2 linked regions of the Drosophila melanogaster genome follow. The protein of the gene in region 2 interacts with the protein of the main gene of each other region in a pairwise test. Each region holds a gene or a part of one and is shown on either strand. Other genes may lie near its edges. The genes, in order: slgA and eEF1beta.

Evidence for each region.
Region 1: the proteins of eEF1beta (region 2) and slgA interact in a two-hybrid assay, tested with the Drosophila melanogaster proteins (one large-scale study listed by BioGRID).

What each region holds. Positions count from the first base shown.
Region 1 is NC_004354.4:21,368,879-21,379,853, reverse strand, and holds the start of slgA (sluggish A), read right to left. Parts: upstream 5,543-10,975; 5' UTR 5,114-5,542; exon of another isoform or gene 5,033-5,113; intron 4,433-5,032; exon of another isoform or gene 4,361-4,432; intron 3,745-4,360; exon of another isoform or gene 3,735-3,744; 5' UTR 3,650-3,734; coding exon 3,188-3,649; intron 267-3,187; coding exon of another isoform or gene 145-266; intron 1-144. Other genes in the region: bbx (bobby sox), read right to left, coding at 7,618-8,871, 8,980-9,061, 9,132-10,105. UniProt on the Drosophila melanogaster protein: Converts proline to delta-1-pyrroline-5-carboxylate. Involved in the conversion of proline to glutamate, which functions as a transmitter at neuromuscular junctions. Glutamate deficiency could possibly account for reduced motor activity.
Region 2 is NT_033778.4:16,866,565-16,875,931, forward strand, and holds eEF1beta (eukaryotic translation elongation factor 1 beta), read left to right. Parts: upstream 1-1,657; 5' UTR 1,658-1,747; coding exon 1,748-1,827; intron 1,828-1,926; coding exon 1,927-2,515; 3' UTR 2,516-2,716; downstream 2,717-9,367. Other genes in the region: Psi (P-element somatic inhibitor), read right to left, coding at 1-682, 762-833; CG6426 (uncharacterized protein), read left to right, coding at 2,957-3,038, 4,706-4,876, 4,947-5,179; CG6421 (uncharacterized protein), read left to right, coding at 5,742-5,811, 5,869-6,284; CG6429 (uncharacterized protein), read left to right, coding at 6,512-6,755, 6,825-7,060; CG6435 (uncharacterized protein), read left to right, coding at 7,264-7,321, 7,677-7,853, 7,911-8,167; CG8910 (uncharacterized protein), read right to left, coding at 9,292-9,367. UniProt on the Drosophila melanogaster protein: EF-1-beta and EF-1-delta stimulate the exchange of GDP bound to EF-1-alpha to GTP.

The sequences.
Region 1 (10,975 bases), on a different chromosome or scaffold from region 2:
GTTTCGCGGCCAAAATAATAACATGAAGTAAACACAAAACCATAGGGCGGCAGAAAGCGATATGGAAACGGGAAAAAAAAACAAGAAAAGAAAAGAAAAAGAAAAAGGCGATAAGTGAGTGGGAGTGTCGTGGTGGGCAATTACCTTTCCAGTGTGGGTATGATCTTGATCTGATCCTCGCCGGCGACAAAGTGGCCATAGAAGGTCGCCTTCATCAATAATGTAAATAACCGTTGACCCAATACGTTCTTTGACCATTTCATAAGCTGCGAAATTTTCGTTTGTTTTGATCGGTTTTATGCGGCATACATAGTAAGTTTGTAAGTTTTTGTAAGTAGGTTTTTTTGGTGTTTTTCGATATTTTGTCATGTTGTTTGCGGCGTCAAAAATTGAATTCGATATAGTTTTAATTTTCCGTTTTAGGCAATACAAAGTTGATATATGTAACAAGGACAAAGAGTTTTTGCAATATACAACTAATATCCATCGATTCTAGCTGAGATCCCTCATCCGCCCAGGTTCTTTCAATTTTTCAGCGCCTGAATCGCACATAAATCATTTGGAACTTGGCCAAGTGGTAAAATAAAAAACGTGAACGGAGTCAAGGCCAAAATCTTTGCCAAAGTCCAACAAAACAGCGTGGAAAAATGCGACAAAAAGTGCGGAGGCGGCAATGTGTATTACTCTTCAGAGGCTGCACGTCATTTAAACGAGTGTCAGGCTAAATACGCATATAAACATCACCTTTCCAAAATGAGCCTAGTGCTCAAGGAAAGACGATCCGCCGCGGAACCATCAACTTAAACAGATATCCGCTGAACATATGTACATATATAAGTGATGCGAATATTGAAATTTTAGTGTAAGAAAAACAAACAAACACTTCCTGAAAAGCCGAAAAATAACGCAAGAGATTGTACAGACTCTTATCCAAACCTATTAATGCAAGATTTATGCGACTAGAGACAATACTATCCCTTCGGAAATATTAATTTATTTAAATAAACTCGCAATGCACTATCCAGCTTTGTGAAAACGAGAAAATGTTAAACTGCACTTAATAAAACTCGGCAATAAGGACAGGAAGAGATCGCCTAACTTGGGAATCACCAAGTTTCCGGTTTCCGGGCAACCCATGTTCCTTACAAGGTGGAAAACACAAGAGCATTGGCCTCTGATTAATGATTCCCTTGCACGTGTGCGCTTTGCTTGATGCGGGATCCATCAGATGAATGAGATTCTGAGAAAGGACAGGTGGGGAAAGAAAAGAGCATTCTCCGTCTGGGGAAACCGGTTTCGTCGAGAACACTAAAGTAATTAATTGAATACAAAGTTGTCGAAAGAGCACACTGCCGACAATATAAATACACCATCACCAAAACTGGTTACATAAAACAAATTTTCGTTTCGCATTATATTTTTTTTGGGTATGGCATGTTTTGCTTTGCTAGTCTTTTAACTTTTCTTTGGCAGACAATTCGAAACCGAGGACAGGTGTTTGCCGTTGAGCTCTGGCCCCAAAAAACAAAAAAAACAAAAAAAGCTGCCCCAGCAGAGCCAACACCACCCCCGGTCACCTAGCACCTGGCACCTGCCACAGTACCCCATCCTCAACCATGTTTTTTACCCATCAATACCCAACCCATTCTCACATATCACGAGACCCACACCGCTCCTCAGTCCCCAAAAGCAATCGACGCGCTACTGTAAATAGAAATGGCGAAAAAATAAGTACACTCTGATACAAATTCAAACGAATATGAGACCCCAATTGTGTTATTGAACTGTGTGCAACAGTTCTTGAGAATGTTCTCACTATATTTAGTACCAAAAGTATAACTAATTGAATGCTAGAACGCTCAAAATCGATTGTGCAAACGATGTTTTCAAATAGATTGCGCCGAGTCTGGTAAAGGAATGGCTTACCAATTTTTTTCTAGTGCAGAGATGTGGGCAAAGTCGATGTCTGACTAATGCCACATGTGATGTGATGTCTACGGTCCCAGGGAGCTGTGCGGACATTCTCTGTGACGTCCATTTAGCCACCCATATATGCAAATTGCATCGAGCGGGGCGAAAAAATGATAAATAAGTAACAGTCTTGGCGACGCATGCACTTTGAGTAATCGATAAGCAATCAAACGATCGCCGACGCTATTAAATAGAAGCACGCTAGCGAGAATGGGGTAAATGCGAGGGGTTTTCCAACGATTCCGATTGGCGCTCATTCGGGGGCCTGACTATATAACGACCTATATATACTATGCAGTCCTACACAGTTCACACAATCCATACGTCTCGCTGAGTAAATACGCACGAGTTAAGAGCAAATAGCGGACCGGGCAAGGTCGCCATCGCAGCGGCAATTTGCATGCCAAAGTTTCCCTTTTTCCTGCCGTCAATCAGGCACTCATTCAATCTTCTGTGCGACTGCAGCACCTGCCAGAAAGTGGCAACAAATGCAACAAGCAATTAGCCAGGAATTCATCAACACGAGGGGAGCAAACGAAAACTCGCTGCGGGTCGGGTGAATTGAAAAGCGGAAGCAGGGCGGAAAATCGGAAGGAAAGCAGCCAGCCACCTGACACGGGCTTCGGTTGCCCGGAAAATCGGAATCAAGCGAATGGAAGCTTGGCAGGATCGAAAAAATTCATGAATAAGACAAAAAAATTCATGAATAGAAAAAAGGAAGCAAACAAAAAAATTAAATATTCTTCTACGTTCAGTTTCAGACAACTTTAACATTATACATACATGGAATTCAATAGCCCTAGCTGTTCATAACTTTTGTTTACTCTTCAAGTGTCCAAGAATCCATGTACATGAATATATTTAAATAAAGCATTTTAAAGGAAGTATTTATAAAATAAATGAATGAATTATAATAAGTTGAAAGCAGCAGAAGAGGACAGAAGAGGCGAAGAGTCAGCACACACTTCGAGAGTTGAAACAAATGGTTTCGAAATCGGTCACTATCTAAAACGATACTTACTTAATTGTAATATTAAGAAAGCATTAAGCAGGGGTTATGTACTAACAGAGCCCCAGATTTCTCAGCAAACAGAACCAGAAACAGAGAGCTAGAGAGAGAGAGAGAGATCTCAGCTAGTCGATGGATTGGACCAATTCAAGGGTCAAAGGTCGCAGGACTCGGCAGAGGAGGAGTGGGGGACACCGATTAACTCACCGTCATGTTGTGCTCGACCAGCTTCTCGCTGGAACATATCATGTAGACGAGATAGGCGCGTATTAGCTCTCCAGTGGTCTTGCTCTTGAAAGCAGCAATCGGATCATTAAAGCTCACGTCCAGGGGATCCCTCTGCGGCGAGCCAGCGGGCGAGGGGTTCTTTTCCTGGGACGACTCCTGCTTCATCGATCGCTTCACCGTCTCGCTGGAGACCACCTCCGGTTGGACCAGAGTGGAGGCCTGCAGCGGCCGGTCGCCGCTGTGCAGGAAGCGCGCTCCATTGACTCCTCTCGTGGACTCCGATGCTGCTCCTTCTCCGGCGATGCTGGTGCTCCCGCTGCCGCGCTGATGGAAACTCCGGCAGGCGGCGACGGCCACGGAATTGCTCGACTTGCTGCTATTACGGCCGTAGACCAAACTGATGGCTGTTCGTTGGGCGCTCAGCGAACGGAGTAGAGCCATTACAAGGGATTCTGCGGTTTATTTACGCTTTCTGCTCTTCGGCTTTTGAGACGGTTATTGAAACGCACTCCAATCTCGGTTGTTGCTGCAAAAAGAAAACAATGGAAAGCAGAGGTAATTTCACTATTATCTCTACAAATCACTACGAATCTGAGGGAAGACAGTGGCGTAACGAAGAGATTACTAAAGGTGGTTATCTCGTTTTCAACTCGATTACAATAACGTTTTAAAAAGTGGAAATGTGGTACATATATAACAAAATTATTACGACTGTTTCAAAATATGCATTGATTTTCAATAAGATCATATAGAATTGATTTAATTGTAATTGGATGATATCTAATTAATATAAAAATAATAAACAAATGTATAATAAAATTCAATTTATAAAAATATTAAAATCAGTGTACATATTATTATTGCAACTTTTTGCCTAATTGTGTTTTTTGCCCCCCCACAAACCCCACGCCAACGCCAATGATCACAGCTGATTTTGTCGGAGAGCTTTTCGCTCTCCCTCTTTCGCTCGCTCCGAATGTTATACAACAAATGCGAAAAACGTGAGGCGGCGAGGGAGAGCGAAGCCGAAAAAAACAGCACAACACAATCACACGTACGCAAGTACACCTTCGAAATGTTCAATTAAAAAAGTCAATTTCTGGGCAGAAATCTATCTTTCGCTATTATGTGTCTTTTGGGTTTTCTTCTTACTTCGTTCTTATTATTTATTCTATTACGCTTTGAGCGTTGTATACGCCGCAAAAGCACGAAACCAAATGCGACGAAGACGCGTGAAAATGGGGCGAGTTGTTAAGCGACGGCAAATTCAACGAAGCGAAACGAGGAAGGACCCGAGGGCGAGAAAATCCTTTTCGCCGCTTCGCTCCCGTTTATGTAACTGTAAATGTAACCGAGATTGTACCGTAATTGTAACTACGACTGTGTGACGTCACAGGCATGCCAGCCCCGTTTGCTTCTGATTTTGATTTTGATTTGGAATTTGTTTTGATTTAATTGAAATGCGCCGAAAGCACACACTAATTGGTGTTAATTGCGGCTCTCCTTGATTCTCCCCAATTTTCGTTCTCAGTTTTCCACCCATTAACCCCTTTTCCCTTTTTCATTTTATTTATTAATTAGCAGCCCGCTAAATAATCGCCAGACGGGAGGCTGCAATCAATCGAAAAAACTTGGCGGGTTTCATTGCACAGATTTCATTACACTTCATTATGGGCTATATCAAGTTCTGTCTCGCTCTGGCCGCCTTGGTTAAAGGGAAACAGGGAGCTGCCGTACTTAAATTGCGAATTCATCTGAATGGTTTTTTTTTTTTTGTTTTTTTTTCTTCATTTTTCTTATTTGTTGCTATGCGGCGAATTGTACCTATTATATAACACTGCTTACTGCTCTCTACCTCGCTTTGTAGAGATCCTTTTATGATACGAATACAACGCAGCCACTCACATGTACACTGCAAAATTTCGCTTGGGTTTGTGGGTTTCCTCTATTTGCTCGATATAAATTTTGCTTTAACGGTTGTTTTGTCACTTCAAAAAAAACAAACTACGATACATAACCAGCAACGACCCAAAAACAATAATAAGGGTAAACAATACAATTTTGTAGAATTTGTAGAATTGCCAAATATAGTTTTTCGGAAAAACTCGTGTTTGTTTGACAAACTTCTCACAGCAGCCTGCGAGAAAAGTAGAAAAGTTCCCGTTTCTGTCAGCGCATTTGCTCACCTCACAAAAGACACACAAGTACAAGTACAATTATAATTATTTTTCGGTTTTTTCGAGTCAATGTTGTTCTTTTCGAGGGTTTTTGGTTTTTGCTGCTGCAACAGAGAGCGTGAGCACGCGCAAGGGTCTGAATTCGCGAATAAACTGAAACACATGAAGCGAAATTAAGGCCAACACGGCGAAAGCTCGTCCAAAAAAGCTTGAGAGAAATTGTTGGACCAGTCGGTGAGGGGCAGAAAGGGGATGGGCCACCCCCAGCAGCTGTTTGGGCTGCACGTGAGCGAAAAAAAGAAACCCGATCGAAAATTAATCGCCATCTTGTCAACTCTTATTACCCAATAAAAATCGGCACGCTTATCTAGGCCCCTGGCGGTTGGCCGGGAATCTTCGGTGCTCTTATCTTATCAATGGACTCCCACACCAGCGTCCAACAAAAACGAACCATTCCTTCTATTCATCTCTCTCCCTGTCTCTTTCTTGACAACCGGCGTCTTGCAACACTGGCCTCGCAAACAGGCTTGCTTTACACCCAGATCACTGGAGAAATATATCGATACGAAATATACGCTCGCAAAATTTGAAATTTAGTTTCAGGTACGAAAATTATTCAAAATGTTTCTCTGTGTAAAGAACGCTTATCGTGGACTCAAGAAAGTATCAAACAGATTTATTTTAATTGCACTATTTACGCAAATATAAGGCCACCAAATGAATATAAGTTTTCTAAATCTTTCTAATCGGACCCTCCCAAGCCAAATATTTCCTTTTGCTGTGTGCCGAAAGAAGGGATTTTAGAAAAGTTTGAATTATTGTTAGTTACAAAATTGAGTATCCGAACTATTTGTTACTTTCAGCTCGCAATATAAATATAATATAAATATCGATAGTTATCGCCGTCTCACAAATCTACACACCAGCGATCTCTAAAAATGTCCTTTGGGTTTGTTTTAAGCGATTTTTTCGGTTACAAATTTCAAACATATTACTTCGTATAAAATCTTTTAAACTGATTAAAATTAAAAACAAAGCGATTCGGCTTGTGACACTAACAAAAAAAAACCTTTTACGTCTCAATTTACTTTACTTTAAAATTGTTTATAGAAAAAAGGTAAGAAAGTTAAGAAACATTTATGGCATCAAAGAAATCATGTTAACGTAAAAAAAAACTACAAGAACTATATGCACTCCATATTTTTTAATATACACAATGTATGCGTACATAGATACCAAATTGTTCCCGTATACTGATTACTTACTGGCGTTTCATAGATAAATATTGCAAAATTGGCTCTTCAAAATGAAAATTCCAAGTTTCCATTTTAAAATGAATATATTTTTGTTTGCAAATTGTTTGCGTTTCGACAAATATAGCAATAAGTTACGACTACATATTAGAAATAATAATAATTAACATTTAATGAGCGACCGCTGCTGTTGATTTTGCTGCTTAGCGAACGCGGCCCGAAAAAGGAGAAACTTAACAAGAAAAAAACAGAACAAGTTATTTAAATACCAAATATATACATAGATATATGCGTGTGAAACTGACTCGGGTCTCCTCCTACCGCCGTCATAACAAACAATACATAATTCGCTATCGCCGCGACTCTCTTCTCGCATTCTCTTCGGCTGGCTTGATTTTCTGTTATTACATAATATTATTGACTAAATTGTAGATCAACGAATGTCTGTTTTTCCATCTCCATTGGGCACCACCAGCAAATAGCTTTAAGCATCGTAAGTATCGAAAATGGGTGCTTAACTTGACCGCAAGACTATCATAAGGGCGACAAATTCAGTTTAAGGTTTTCGATTGATGCGACAATGTTAAAACAATTGAATATTAATGCACAGTTGTGCGGATATGAACTGAATATTTTGGATATGTGTGCAACATAGCCCGAAAAACATGTAAAACCTATCTATATATGTATGTAAATAAAATATAAAGTATTATTCCTCAGCTCTGACGTAATGAATGATGATATGAATAACTGCTAAGGACATGCTCTTTTGCTTTCCTAAAAACTATATAATAAGGTAAACAGGGAATAGTTTAAATATCTAAACATAATTTCAAATTATTGCAACAGGATATACATATGTGAATATGTCTTCCCCAAGTATGACAATCTTGCAGTTCGCTATTTTGATTTGGGCTAACTATTTGGTGGTAATGCTGGACAGCCAGTGGTGCTGCTGATGTTATTGGTGTTGCAGGCGCTAGTTGGACTTGGTCAGCTCAGTGCGGTTGGCGGCCACTTCGGCCAGAATGAGTAGATCTGAGGTAGAGGAGGTCACGTCGAAGGCCGCCTGCGAGGAGAGCGAGGAGGATGACGACGAGGAGTTCGAAGAGAGCGGTGGCGAGGCCGACGACGAGGTTACAGGGGCATTCACCGCCTTGGGAGCACCGCTCTGGTTAAAGTAGTAGCTGCCATTGATGGTCAGGGGCAGAATTGAGGCCACCTCCTGTTCAATGGCACTAACATCGCGCCGGGTGATACTTTCCTTGCGCGCCTTTCGTCGCTGGCTTCCCACAGCCTGCAGTTGCTGCTGCTTGATCCTCACGTGTTGCTCGCTAGATAATGGGACAGCACCTTTCGCCGCAGCATCTGCTGCTGCCACATTCGAAGTTGCTGATGCACCACTTGTGCTGTTCGAATTCCTCTGTTTCTTGGTGCCGCTAAACTTCTTCTTCTTTTTGGTGCTACGTTTGCGCTGCAGGTAAGCGTCCAAGCTGAGGGCTGGCAGCTCTTTGATTTTCTCCTCGAGATCAAAGAAACCACTGCTGCTTGACTCGGAAACGCTTCTTATATGTTTTTGCATGGAATCCGGACTGCTACCCTGACGTTCCGGTGGCGAAACGGGCGGTGTATTGGGTCCCGCATCCAAGGGGATGTCCACAAAGTTTCCACCCATGTTACCTGCCGGCGGCAAGCGAGCTTTGCTCTTCTTAGCTATGGCCGCCAATTGACCGGAATTGACCAATTCCTGGTAAATCTTGCCCTTGCAGGAGCGTGATGACTTGACCTTCTTGTTTGGCGAGCTACCACTGGCCGCCTCCTCCTCGCTGGAGTTGCTCGAGTTGTTGTCCTGCAAGGAGCGCTTATTGCCATTCCCATTTGTATTGCCAGCTGGCATATGGGCAGATAGAAACTGGCTGGTCTCGCTGAGCACCTGCTGTAGGGCGAAGTCCTTTTCTTGTACTTGAACTTGCAGTAGGGAGCTTAGCTCGCCCATCTGCGTTTCGTCTGCCAGTTTAAAGTAGTTGGGGCGCAGCATAGCACGCGGCATCTCCCCTCGCTCTGCCCACTGCACTTGCAGTGAAGTCGGCACCTGCTGCTGTGGCTGATCTTCACTGGGTATGAGCAAGCCAGCAGACGCGTTGCTGGGACGGGTAGCTAGCGTTCGCAGCGGCGGAGCTGGCAGTTTGTACCACTTGAAGTTTGGATTAGCATTGAAGAAGGCGTCCTTGTTCTACAAAAGAAAATTAATTAGCTTGCTAAACTTATAGAACTCAAAGCCCAGCAGGCATGTTCAGCAGAAGTGAAGTATGTGCACGGGTAAATATTGTATGATCCCCACCTGCTGTGCCAGATCCGTGAAGCAGTGTTTCTCCTGCTCGTCGAGAGCGGCCCACCAGTCGCCAAGTATCTTTGTAATGGCACTAAAAGAGGTAAACAACGAGTGAGTAATCTTTCCGGAACCTAAATGGGTGCAGCTGGAAAAAAACCCACCGGTTCTCCAAAGTTTTGTAACGCTCCTTGACGATACCGCGATGTCTCTTGCAGAATATGAGGAAGGCATTCATGGGTCGGCGGGCATGATGCTCCGGCCGTGTGTTATCCGCTGTCTCATCCTGCTGAAGCTGTCGCGGCTCTACTTGATGGCTATACTGATCCTGCTCCTGCTGCGGCACTGTGACCACGTCCACGTCCACATGCTCTTCGGCGGCCTCGCGACGAATGCGCGTGACCTCCTGCTGCACAGGCAACTGCACTTGGATCTCCGCCTCCTCCTCATCATCCTCCTCTTCATCGAGATCTTCCTCTTCGTCGTCCTCGTCGTCAGTGTCGCTGCTGCAGTCCTGCAACTTGGCATAGTTGTGCACATCCTCGATGCGCCGAAAGGCATTTTCTTGGTCTTCGGTGCGCTGCGGCTGGGGGTCACCTAAGGCACTTTTGGCAACTTTACCAGGCGATCCTTGTGATTCACCTTCTCTGACTAATGTTTTAGCTTCTGCTTCTCCTGCGCTCGATGGTTTGTCTTTGGTCCTGGATATGGGGAGCCAGCGGAGTTCGCTTGCTCCCATTTGGGATACCATCTTTGCAGCAGCTGTCAGGAATTCTCCTGATCTTTGGGAAAGTTCTCTGGATATCAAAAAGTCCCTGGACAAGCCCGAAACGTAAGATGCCGCTGCCGGAGAATATCCCTCAAGGCTTCTTGCTCCTTGGTTGCCGCTCGTTGTGGCGATTACTCCACTTGCTCCCGGTATCTTCTCAACTATTTTCAGCGCTCTGCCTGTGTAGTTCTTGTTGTTCCTCATTTTCGTCTCCGATGTTTTAAGGCCACTGTAGTTGCTGTTGCTGATGTTGCTGCTGCTACTGTTGTTGCTGTTGTTGTTGTAGGCAAAGTGCAATTTAATTGCAGCACCTGTTGGCGTCACCTGCGCCACCTGCTGACCACCGCCAACGCTCAGGCCGTTGATCATGTTCTTAGCTTTCGTTTTCCACCTACTTGTCTAGTCCCGATCCTCAAACATATTACGCTGCAAGTATGGAAAAATGTCACTGTTTTTTAGTGGGTAAATTTCACAAATGCAAGAAAATGGCGCTGCCAGTGTGTCTGGAAAATAAAAAAAAACTAATTGGCAGCTCTGGTTTTTGCGATATTGAGTTGTTTACAAATTTCCAGTGCGAGAGCAAGACAGATCAGCTGTGCGTGTGTGTTTGTGCGTGCTGTGGCGCCTGTTCGGATAGCTCTTTCTCTTTTTTTCTCAAGCAAAACTTCGTTAAACAAAAATAAATCGCACACAAATAAAGCTATATTTTTTTTCATTATTATGAAATTCACGTCAATCCATACATACAAGTAAGGCAAAAATATCACAGTCTATCAAACAAAAGCATAAAAATAATTGCAAAATAAATAAACAAAGAAACAGCTAAGGGAATGCACTCAAAAAGAGTTACGGCTACTTATTGACTTTCAATACTTTTCAACACTACTTGTGAAGGTTAACAACGGGAAAAATTTTATTATGGTCAATTTGATGAGCCTATTATGATTAAGAACCTTATAAATGCATACGCTTCCTGCACCTTGTCCAATTGAAAAAGTTGAAAAGCTTGAGTTTCGTTGACAAAAAAAGGTTGTATTGAAATACACAAAAATTCACCCGCTTTCTTTATTAACAACGAACATTATCAGTGCTTTTTGTGCATAAGATACATACTATCAATACTGCCTGCAAAATTTAATAACAGTTTTAATTATCGATAAATACTTGTTTTTTGTACTGCTATTGCACAATTATGTGACAAACTAAACACACAAATAAAGAAATGAAAAAAGGAAAACA
Region 2 (9,367 bases):
GTCCGTCCTGGATGATGATCATTTTGGCTCCGGTCTTCTCCTGCAGCTGTTTAATGGTATCGCCGCCCTTGCCAATGACCAAGCCCACCTTGGCGCCCGGAATCATGATCTCCTGGTAAGGTGGATACCCGCTAGGTCCCGGTGGCGGCATATTGATCGTCAACAGCACCTCCACCTGTCCCCCGCCAGCCCGATTGGCCATGTTCTGAATCATTTCGCGCCCCTTAGTGACTGTATCCCTTTGACCACGCAACATGATAACGCGATCTTGATCCTGCATGACCTGCACTTTTACACCGGACTCGGCCTGGATGTGGGTGATGGTGTCGTTACTGGAGCGACCCATAAAGGCGCCGGCTACCGATTCGGGCAGACGGATCTGCTCCTCACAGCTTGTTCCCGCCGAGGCGGCCAAACGAGCGGCTACCGCAGCAGCCTGGGCGATTGCCTGAGTAATACTGGCACCGCCGGGACCTCCGCCGCCGCCACCACCACCCCCGCTACCGCTGCTCATGTTGGAGCTGTTGTTGGCGTACTCCGGACTGCCCAAGGAGCGTTTGGATTCCGGACCGCTGTCGCCGTCGTCGTTGATACGCTTAAAGCCAGGCCCTCCACCCGAAGACGGTGGCGATGGACCCGCTGTGCCGCCGCCCTGCTGGCTGGGCTGGATCTTGGCTGCGATCTGGTTTGGGGATTGGGGCAAAAGAAGCCGAATCAATGCCCACTTCCGCTTCTTCCTCTTCCAAGTGGTGGGAACTCACCTGCTTGGCACGCTGAATTGCCTGCGCGAGTGCCTGCGATTGATTGATGCCTTGTTGCTGGAAGTCGCTCATAGTTCTGGGTTTATAATAGGTTCAATTCGGTTCTTTATGGTTACCACTTGTTTTTTTTTTGTTCTGTTTGACCGCACGCGTTGAAAATTCAATAGCCGAAAGCGACGATTTTTTCACAAATGCTGAGGAAATACTATAAACGCTTCCTATGGCATTTGTTTAAGTGGCTTTCGAATGTCTACTCTGCCTTATTGTTGAGCCGTTTTTTTCATGCGCTTCTACGTTTTTTTTTTTAATTTTTCTTTCGGCTTTTCAGTGAAAATTATGCGTTTGCAAAAAAATTGTGTAGCATTATAGCTTGATTGGAGGCGTTTTTTCACCCTCATGATTTTCACTGCAACGGTAACACTGCGCATAAGATATTCACGGTTTTAGTCCGCGCTTTTGGTATATTTGTGTTAAATTAAATATTCAATGACTTATATGAATTTATTTGAAAGTAAAGGATCTACTTAAACTTAATTTCTATTAAGCCCAAGCTCCCAATTTGTGTGAATTTGCCCAAGGAAATGCATATTGTTTTCACAAGTTACAAAGTAGAAGCATACAATTTCTATACAATTTTTTTCCTTTTCAGAATATTAAATGTAATTGTTTGGCCTTAAATTTACGTAGCCAATAGCTAGCTTAAGTATAAGGTATTAATTATAATCCTTATGTTTTATTAAAAAAAATACAAGTAAGCGTTAAAAATCTATTTGAATGTATGGTATATTTGAACGATATTTACTCAAACTCCGGGTCACCCTGTGTTGCAACTACTTGAAATACTAGGAAAAAGTCAGTATTTTCATTATATGTTTAAAGACCGTTTCCCGCGAAGGTCACTCTGTTCTTCTTTCGTCGGCAACGTTGCGCAGAGCACGGCTCCAGATTTGTTAAACGCGAATTTACCCCACAAAAACGCATTTAAAATGGCATTCGGTGATGTGACCACCCCGCAGGGACTGAAGGAGTTGAACGCCTTCCTGGCCGACAACAGCTACATCAGCGGGTAAGCACGCGTCATTAAATGTGAGGTTATGTACGACCTCACCACGTCGGCAGATGTATTGATCGAATAATTTTCTACCCATTACTATACTCCCATTAGATATACTCCCAGCAAGGCCGATCTGTCCGTGTTCGATGCTCTGGGCAAGGCCCCCTCTGCCGACAATGTGAACGTGGCCCGCTGGTACCGCCACATCGCCTCCTTTGAGGCCGCTGAGCGTGCCGCTTGGTCGGGTACTCCTCTGCCCCAGTTGGCCGGTGGAAAGCCCACAGTGGCTGCTGCTGCCAAGCCCGCCGCCGACGATGACGACGATGTGGATCTATTCGGATCCGACGACGAGGAGGACGAGGAGGCCGAGCGCATCAAGCAGGAGCGAGTTGCCGCTTACGCCGCCAAGAAGTCTAAGAAACCCGCCCTCATTGCCAAGTCGTCGGTGCTCCTCGATGTCAAGCCCTGGGATGACGAGACCGACATGAAGGAGATGGAGAACAATGTCCGCACCATCGAAATGGACGGTCTGCTGTGGGGCGCCTCCAAACTGGTCCCAGTCGGCTATGGCATCAACAAGTTGCAGATCATGTGCGTCATCGAGGACGACAAGGTGTCCATCGATTTGCTGCAGGAGAAGATCGAGGAGTTCGAGGACTTTGTTCAGTCTGTCGACATTGCTGCCTTCAACAAGATCTAAACATCTGAGATTCTTATATTAACAATAAACTTGAGCAAAGCGAACTAAGCAAATATAGTTGTCTTCATATTTAAATAAAATATTTCACATGAAAGCTGCAATAAGCCAATCATAATTCAGATTGTAAAAACACATCAGTTTTATTGGAATAATGATTGAAATTTTGTAATTTTCACCAAAAAGTATACTTTTATAATCGGTAAAAATCTCTAATCTCTTTAGTTGGCTTGCTGGCTCTCTCAAGTTCTCAGCTTAAGTCTTCCGTTTTGAAGCTTTCGGCGAGCTTTTGTCAACAAAAAAGCGAAGCTCGTAGCACTTTCAGCTCAGTTGATCGGGCAGCTCGATAGAGGTCGGTTGTTTACAGATAGTTGTGATACTGTTCAGTGACTTTTCAAATTGCATTTGCAAACAAATATTTTTCGGACACAAGTACTGCTTATAATGGCTGCCAACAAATTGTGCTGCACTTTGGCTATTGGCGCTCTTTTGTGTCTGGGATTCGCAGCCCTCATTCAAGCTCAGGGTGAGTTAAATACATCGAAAACTATATATTTACATTATATAGGCGAGAACATTTCCGTTCTTGTTATTGTTCGCGAGACGTATTTGTTACGCATTTGCTGAGATTTGCTTTTAACACGAAATATACAAATACCTGATCGTCTGCATTCATTAACATTAATTAGCAATTGTATAGATATTTGAGTCTTTTGTTCTGCGCCAAGACATGTTTCGTTCTTGAGCGGATTTCCCAGATATATTTATCCATCCATCGTGTTTGTCGCCATTTGCATACGACAAGTATCTGGAGGTTGACAAACGTCCATTTAAACTCGGGGATTTCTGATCGGTTTCAGATTCCATAATCGACCATCCATCATCTAAAACACGGGCCGTTGACATCGTTAGTTTTCAATAACGCATCATTGCCATTGAAATTACTTCCGATTAGTATACATCTATTACATTGGCGGAAATTAATTGGTATTAAGTTTGAAAATCATCTATTAATCGTTGGCAGTAATTTGAAGTGAACTCTTTGCTTCTCTGTTTAATAAATTAATTGTCTAAATGGGTAATTAGCAGAAATCAATCAGTCGTTATTTTTGCATTATTCGCGAAAAGGATGTAGTTTTACTGGAGATTTCCCCGAATCCGGAACAGTATTTTGCGGTGCACATCGGTACTCCATTGTTAGACCTCAAAAAATCCCACTTTCGTGACAATTTGCTGCGTGTGGGTTATCTCTGGGTCAGGAAAACCCCGTGAAAAGGTGTTTATATAAACTAAAATATGCACTGATATGATATGTTTTAGAAAGGTGGAAATATATAAAAGGTCTTTAATCTTGACCCAATTTTTATGCCTTTGAAGATTACTTTGCATAGGTCACTGAACTCAGAAACCTCAGAGTTTTGCTCGTGTGTGTGGGTGAGCCAGAAGGCTAGATGACATGCTGTGCTTCACGCTTCTTTCGATCTTTTCGCAAAATTGGCAAAATGCCGATACTCGTTAAAAATACAAAATTTAATTACAAGAACAAGGTCTTGATAACGCCGATTAATTGACTCATCCTCGCCTACGCGCTGCCAGATTTTGTTCTACGGAGATGCTTCAATGTTTCCATTGAAAGTTGCAAAACTAGTTCGATACAAAATGGGATGGGAACGTGAGGCCGATGGATTTCAGGTTCATGGGCGTGCAAGCAACGGAATTGCTTTTCGTTTCTTGGATATATTTTATAATTTTATTGAATTTTTGAAATTTATGAACCCGCTCGCACCGGGGAAACACAGATAACACACTAGGATTAGTTTTATTGTAGTACCTGTTGTTATTTTACACGGAAATCTCTTCGGTTGGAATTTATAATAATGAACGTAAGAAATTTTAAAAGAATTTTTAACAAGTTCAAGATAAGACACCTAAACCAAATTGGTCAACTGGATTTTTTGTTTAATTAGTTTCCTACTACTTTTTTCTGTGAGCTGCTAAAATTTCAAAGTCTTCAACTTGTTATAACTCTTAAAAATTCAAAACATTACCAAATGCTCTGAATAAAGCGATGACATGATCTGGGCAAATCTGCACTGCTAACGCTCTTTTGAGGCTAATCTGGAAAATAAAATAAAAATAAAAATGAACTGAACTGATTTGATTTGATTTGAATGATCTTTAAACCCGAAACAGATAAGCCGGTGACTGATGTGTGCCTGGGATGCATCTGCGAGGCCATCAGTGGATGCAACCAGACACGTTACTGCGGCGGCGGAGTCTGCGGCCTGTTTCGCATCACCTGGGCATATTGGGCCGACGGCGGCAAGCTGACCTTGGGCAACGAGAGTCCCCAGTCGGAGGATGGTGAGTGTCCCATCCATTACCTATGCAATAAACCTTATCATACATCTGATGCACATTAATCTCGCTGCAGCGTATGCCAATTGCGTGAACGATCCCTACTGCGCGGCCAACACGATCCAGAATTACATGACCAAGTTCGGCCAGGACTGCAATGGAGACAACGCCATCGATTGCTACGACTTTGCTGCCATCCACAAGCTGGGCGGCTATGGATGCAAGGGCGAGCTGAGCTACCAGTACCAGACGCAGCTGACCAACTGCCTTAATTCGTTCCAGCAGATCGACGTGCGCTCTAGCATATAAACACATTAACTTGCTAAATTTATATTGTAATTAAATTTAAATAATGTAATAATTAATTATTTATGGCAATGCATTTGAATTCGATTCAGAATAAATGACAATACAAGCAAATATTTTTAACTTTTCAGTGCTTCACACTTGTTTCATAAATTTAGTAAATTATTTCGAATGGACAAAAAAAATAATTATTGTAATGAATTTTACTTATTTGTTAGGGTTATTCGTGTAAAAAACATTTTACATTCCTTGCTTACATACATATTCTCTACATCTTGGCTTGAAATACAGTAAAATTAAACTAGTCTTTAACACACGCTTTAAAATATTTAGGAGTCGCAGTGTAGCATACTTTTTGTTGTAAGTTTCAACTGGGAGTCAGTGAGTGGGGGTATGTAGTAGAACTATTCTTAACACTTTGTGTGGATGCGCCCTATAAACCGGTATTACCCGCTAGATTGGCGCATTTACCGGGTACTGAGTACTCAGTTCATGGGAATCGCTAGAACCATTCGCAGTTTCAGGGGCAGAGGAATTGGATGTTATTACTTTAACCAGCCGGAAAATGCGAGTTTTCCTGCTATATTCCATATATTTGCTGCTGGTGCTGTCGCCTTCATTGGTTCAAGGCCAAGGTACGTTTTTTCCGCCAAAAATATATGTGCTATATGTACAATAAATTGCGTAAACAGGTCATGTGCTGGATAAGCCGGTAACGGAGCTGTGTCTCACCTGCATTTGTGAGGCCATTAGTGGTTGCAATGCCACGGCGATTTGCACCAGTGCGGAAAAGGGAGCATGCGGCATATTCCGCATCACCTGGGGATACTGGGTGGATGCTGGCAAACTGACGGTAAATGGAGAGCATCCCGATTCGGAAAAGGCTTTCATCAACTGCGCCAAGGATCCGCACTGTGCCGCCGATTTGGTGCAAAACTATATGAAGAAGTTCAATCAGGATTGCAATGATGATGGTGAGATGGATTGCCACGATTATGCTCGAATCCATAAACTGGGGGCTTATGGCTGCCAAGCGGACATGCCCTACAATTTCCAGAGTGTGTTCGAGGAGTGCATCGAGAGGTACGAGGATGAGGGATTTGAGTAAATAAAAAATAAACATTATATATATATGTTAATAAACTTAATATTTTTATTTACCCGGGAATCACCGCTGATTGGAAACCAGATCGGTGCATTTCCTATAACTGAAATTAGTCACCTTCGATGGCGCTCATTTTCGATAATAAAAACCAGTAGTCACTGCTGAAATCGTTTCAGTGGCTGAACAATCGCGAAAGGCATCGAATCGGAAGTGAATACACATCTCGAGCTATGCATAGTGCACATATATTATTTTTCGTACTCGGGCTCACATTCGTTGGCATTTGGGTTCAAGCCGAGGTCCAAAAACCCATCACGGAACAATGCCTGATCTGTATGTGTGAGGCTTTGAGTGGCTGCAACGCGACGGCTGTGTGCGTGAATGGGGCATGTGGCATTTTCAGGATCACTTGGGATCAGTGGGTGGACTCAGGCAGATTGACCATACCTGGCGACTCGCCATTGACGGATAGTTGTAAGAACTGCGTTTATCTGTCAATTTAGTGCATTTACTTACTTACCTTTGAATTTACAATATACTCAGCTTTTACCAACTGCGCCAATGATCCGTATTGTGCGGCCGATACTTTGCAGAGTTATATGGTGAAGTACGGACAGGATTGCAACGATGATCAGAAGGAGGACTGTTACGATTATGGTGCCATTCACTATATGGGTCCCTTCAACTGCAAGGCGGATATGCCCTACACCTACGAGAGCATTTTCAAACGATGTTTGAGGAACGCGATGCGGAATGACAAGCGTCAGAATTCCAGCTAGGCCTAATGCAACTTTTTCTAGTATTTAGCAACTAACTTATGAGGAAGAGTCCGTTTAATTTATGTGCAAATAACTCATAGCTAATATAGGCGTTAATTTCGATTAATAAACTAGTGGCTTGGAGTCAACTGAGATCAGTTGTTTGGTCAACACGGCACTTGCAGGTCGGGTTCTCGATTCTCGATCGGATTCAAAGCTCAGTTATGCTACGATTGCTAGTTTGTTTGTGGCTACTGGTGTACAGTGGTTCCAGCTATGAGGGTAAGTGCTACCCAGCTACACAAGCCATCAATTCCGTAGCGATAGTACCTTATAACCACTGTGTTACGTAGTTGACGTGGTGCTCTATAATTATGGTAATCCATCTGGGTTCGCTGTAAAATAAAGCCAGTTTATAGGAATAGCTTTATACTATAAAGCCGGCTGTAACATCCGCCCATTTCCACTTTTCTCGTACACTGAATATAATTTATTCATTAGCTCCATAATATAATGCTTTTTTGATATTTAAAAAGTCTTCTTAAGAAAAATCACATTTATACAAAAATTATCTTCTTTCTTTTTTTTTTTGATGAAATAAGTATGTATTGATTAGTATTTCTTTCTGTGTATTTAGTGCAAAACAAACCCGTCACGGAAGATTGCCTAGACTGTCTATGCGAAACAATGAGTGGCTGCAATGCATCCGCAATTTGCGTAAATGGGGCCTGCGGTATATTCCGAATCACTTGGGGCTACTGGGTGGAGGCGGGCAAACTAACTTTGCCCACAGATACAGCTCTCTCCGAAGACGGTATGTTCAGGATATCCAAGTAATAGATCCATTTCAATTCCCCAGTCCTTTTCTCAGCTTTTACGAACTGCGTTAATCAGCCCCACTGTGCAGCGAACACGGTGCAGAATTATATGTTCAAACATGGCCAGGATTGCAATGGAGACGAGCACATCGATTGCCTGGATTTCGGAGCACTCCACAAACTGGGCAATCTGAAGTGCCAGGAAGAGTTGCCCTACATCTTTGCCAAAGTCTTCAATCGATGTCTGAAATCCAAGGAGCGGATGGCAGAGGAAAAGATCATCAAGGAGCAGGAAACGGTTTCAACATAATTGATTCTTTATTGGGTTTCATCGTTTCCCACTTTTCGGGGATATATTTGTCTGTTTTTAAAACAATCCTGGTAACACATATACACGTACATACATCGAAACATTGCTTATGTTTGCATTTGAACAGTTTCCAATATAGGTATGGATTCTATAGATTTAGTTACAGATACAGATATATATATATAATATATATAGAGGGGTATATGAAAACTACTTTAATATGCTCTCGCTTTTTGTAAACATGTTAACATACTGGTAGTACATAGTTATTAATTTATTCAGATTCTGGCTTACGTTTGCTAAAGCTTGGCTCTAACATTGGTTTGCCATTCAGTGGTCATGGTTCTATATCTCGAGATGAGGTTCTCTCTATTAAGGGGTATTCTGTTTGGTAGTCTAGTATATGGAAACTTGAAAGTAAAAAGGACTGTTACGGATATTTTCATCAGAATCTGTTCAAATTGAAATTGTTTCAACAACCTTTTTAATTGGTAATGATTCATGTTGAGACTGAGACTGAGGCAATGTCGAACGAAAGGCAGCAATATCATCCTATTCTTATCATATCTCTAGACGGTGAAGAGTTATGAAAGTGGGCAGTGAACGTAATGAAAACTAAGTGGAAGTTTCTGCTTACGACTATAAACGAAATGAAAGCAAAATATTAGTGAAAAAATCAGTGCTTGCCAAAGGTTTATCATTTAAATACAAATGTTTGGCATAGTTTTTCTTTTGAATTAAAAGCATTAAATGCCAAAAACGCCCACAAAAGAAGTAAATATGCAGACACAAGTACAATGAAGGTGATTTAAATTTCACGATTCTACAGTGAATTCTTTTTTTTAAGAAACTATTTTTAAATATTTGGCTTCTCTATTTTCTATTTCGAGTAAAAAATCATGGAAATGATTGAGGCCTAACTGACAAATTACGTTCATAAAATTACAATCAAGCTCGATTCATATGGGTAGGGGGTGTTGAGGTGTGTGAGTTGGAGGTCTGATTCCATCCGATCCTATCTGGCTTGATATAGTACGGTTACACGGGTACTTGGTGATGATCTTACATGGCTAGAATTGCAACTGGAAATATGCGTTTTTGCTGGCTAATTGGGTGCCCTTCCCTCACTTCTTGCTGTTCCCATCGTTGGCCAACAGCAGCTCCTTGGCCTCCTTCTTGCCCCGCTTCTTCTCCTCCTTG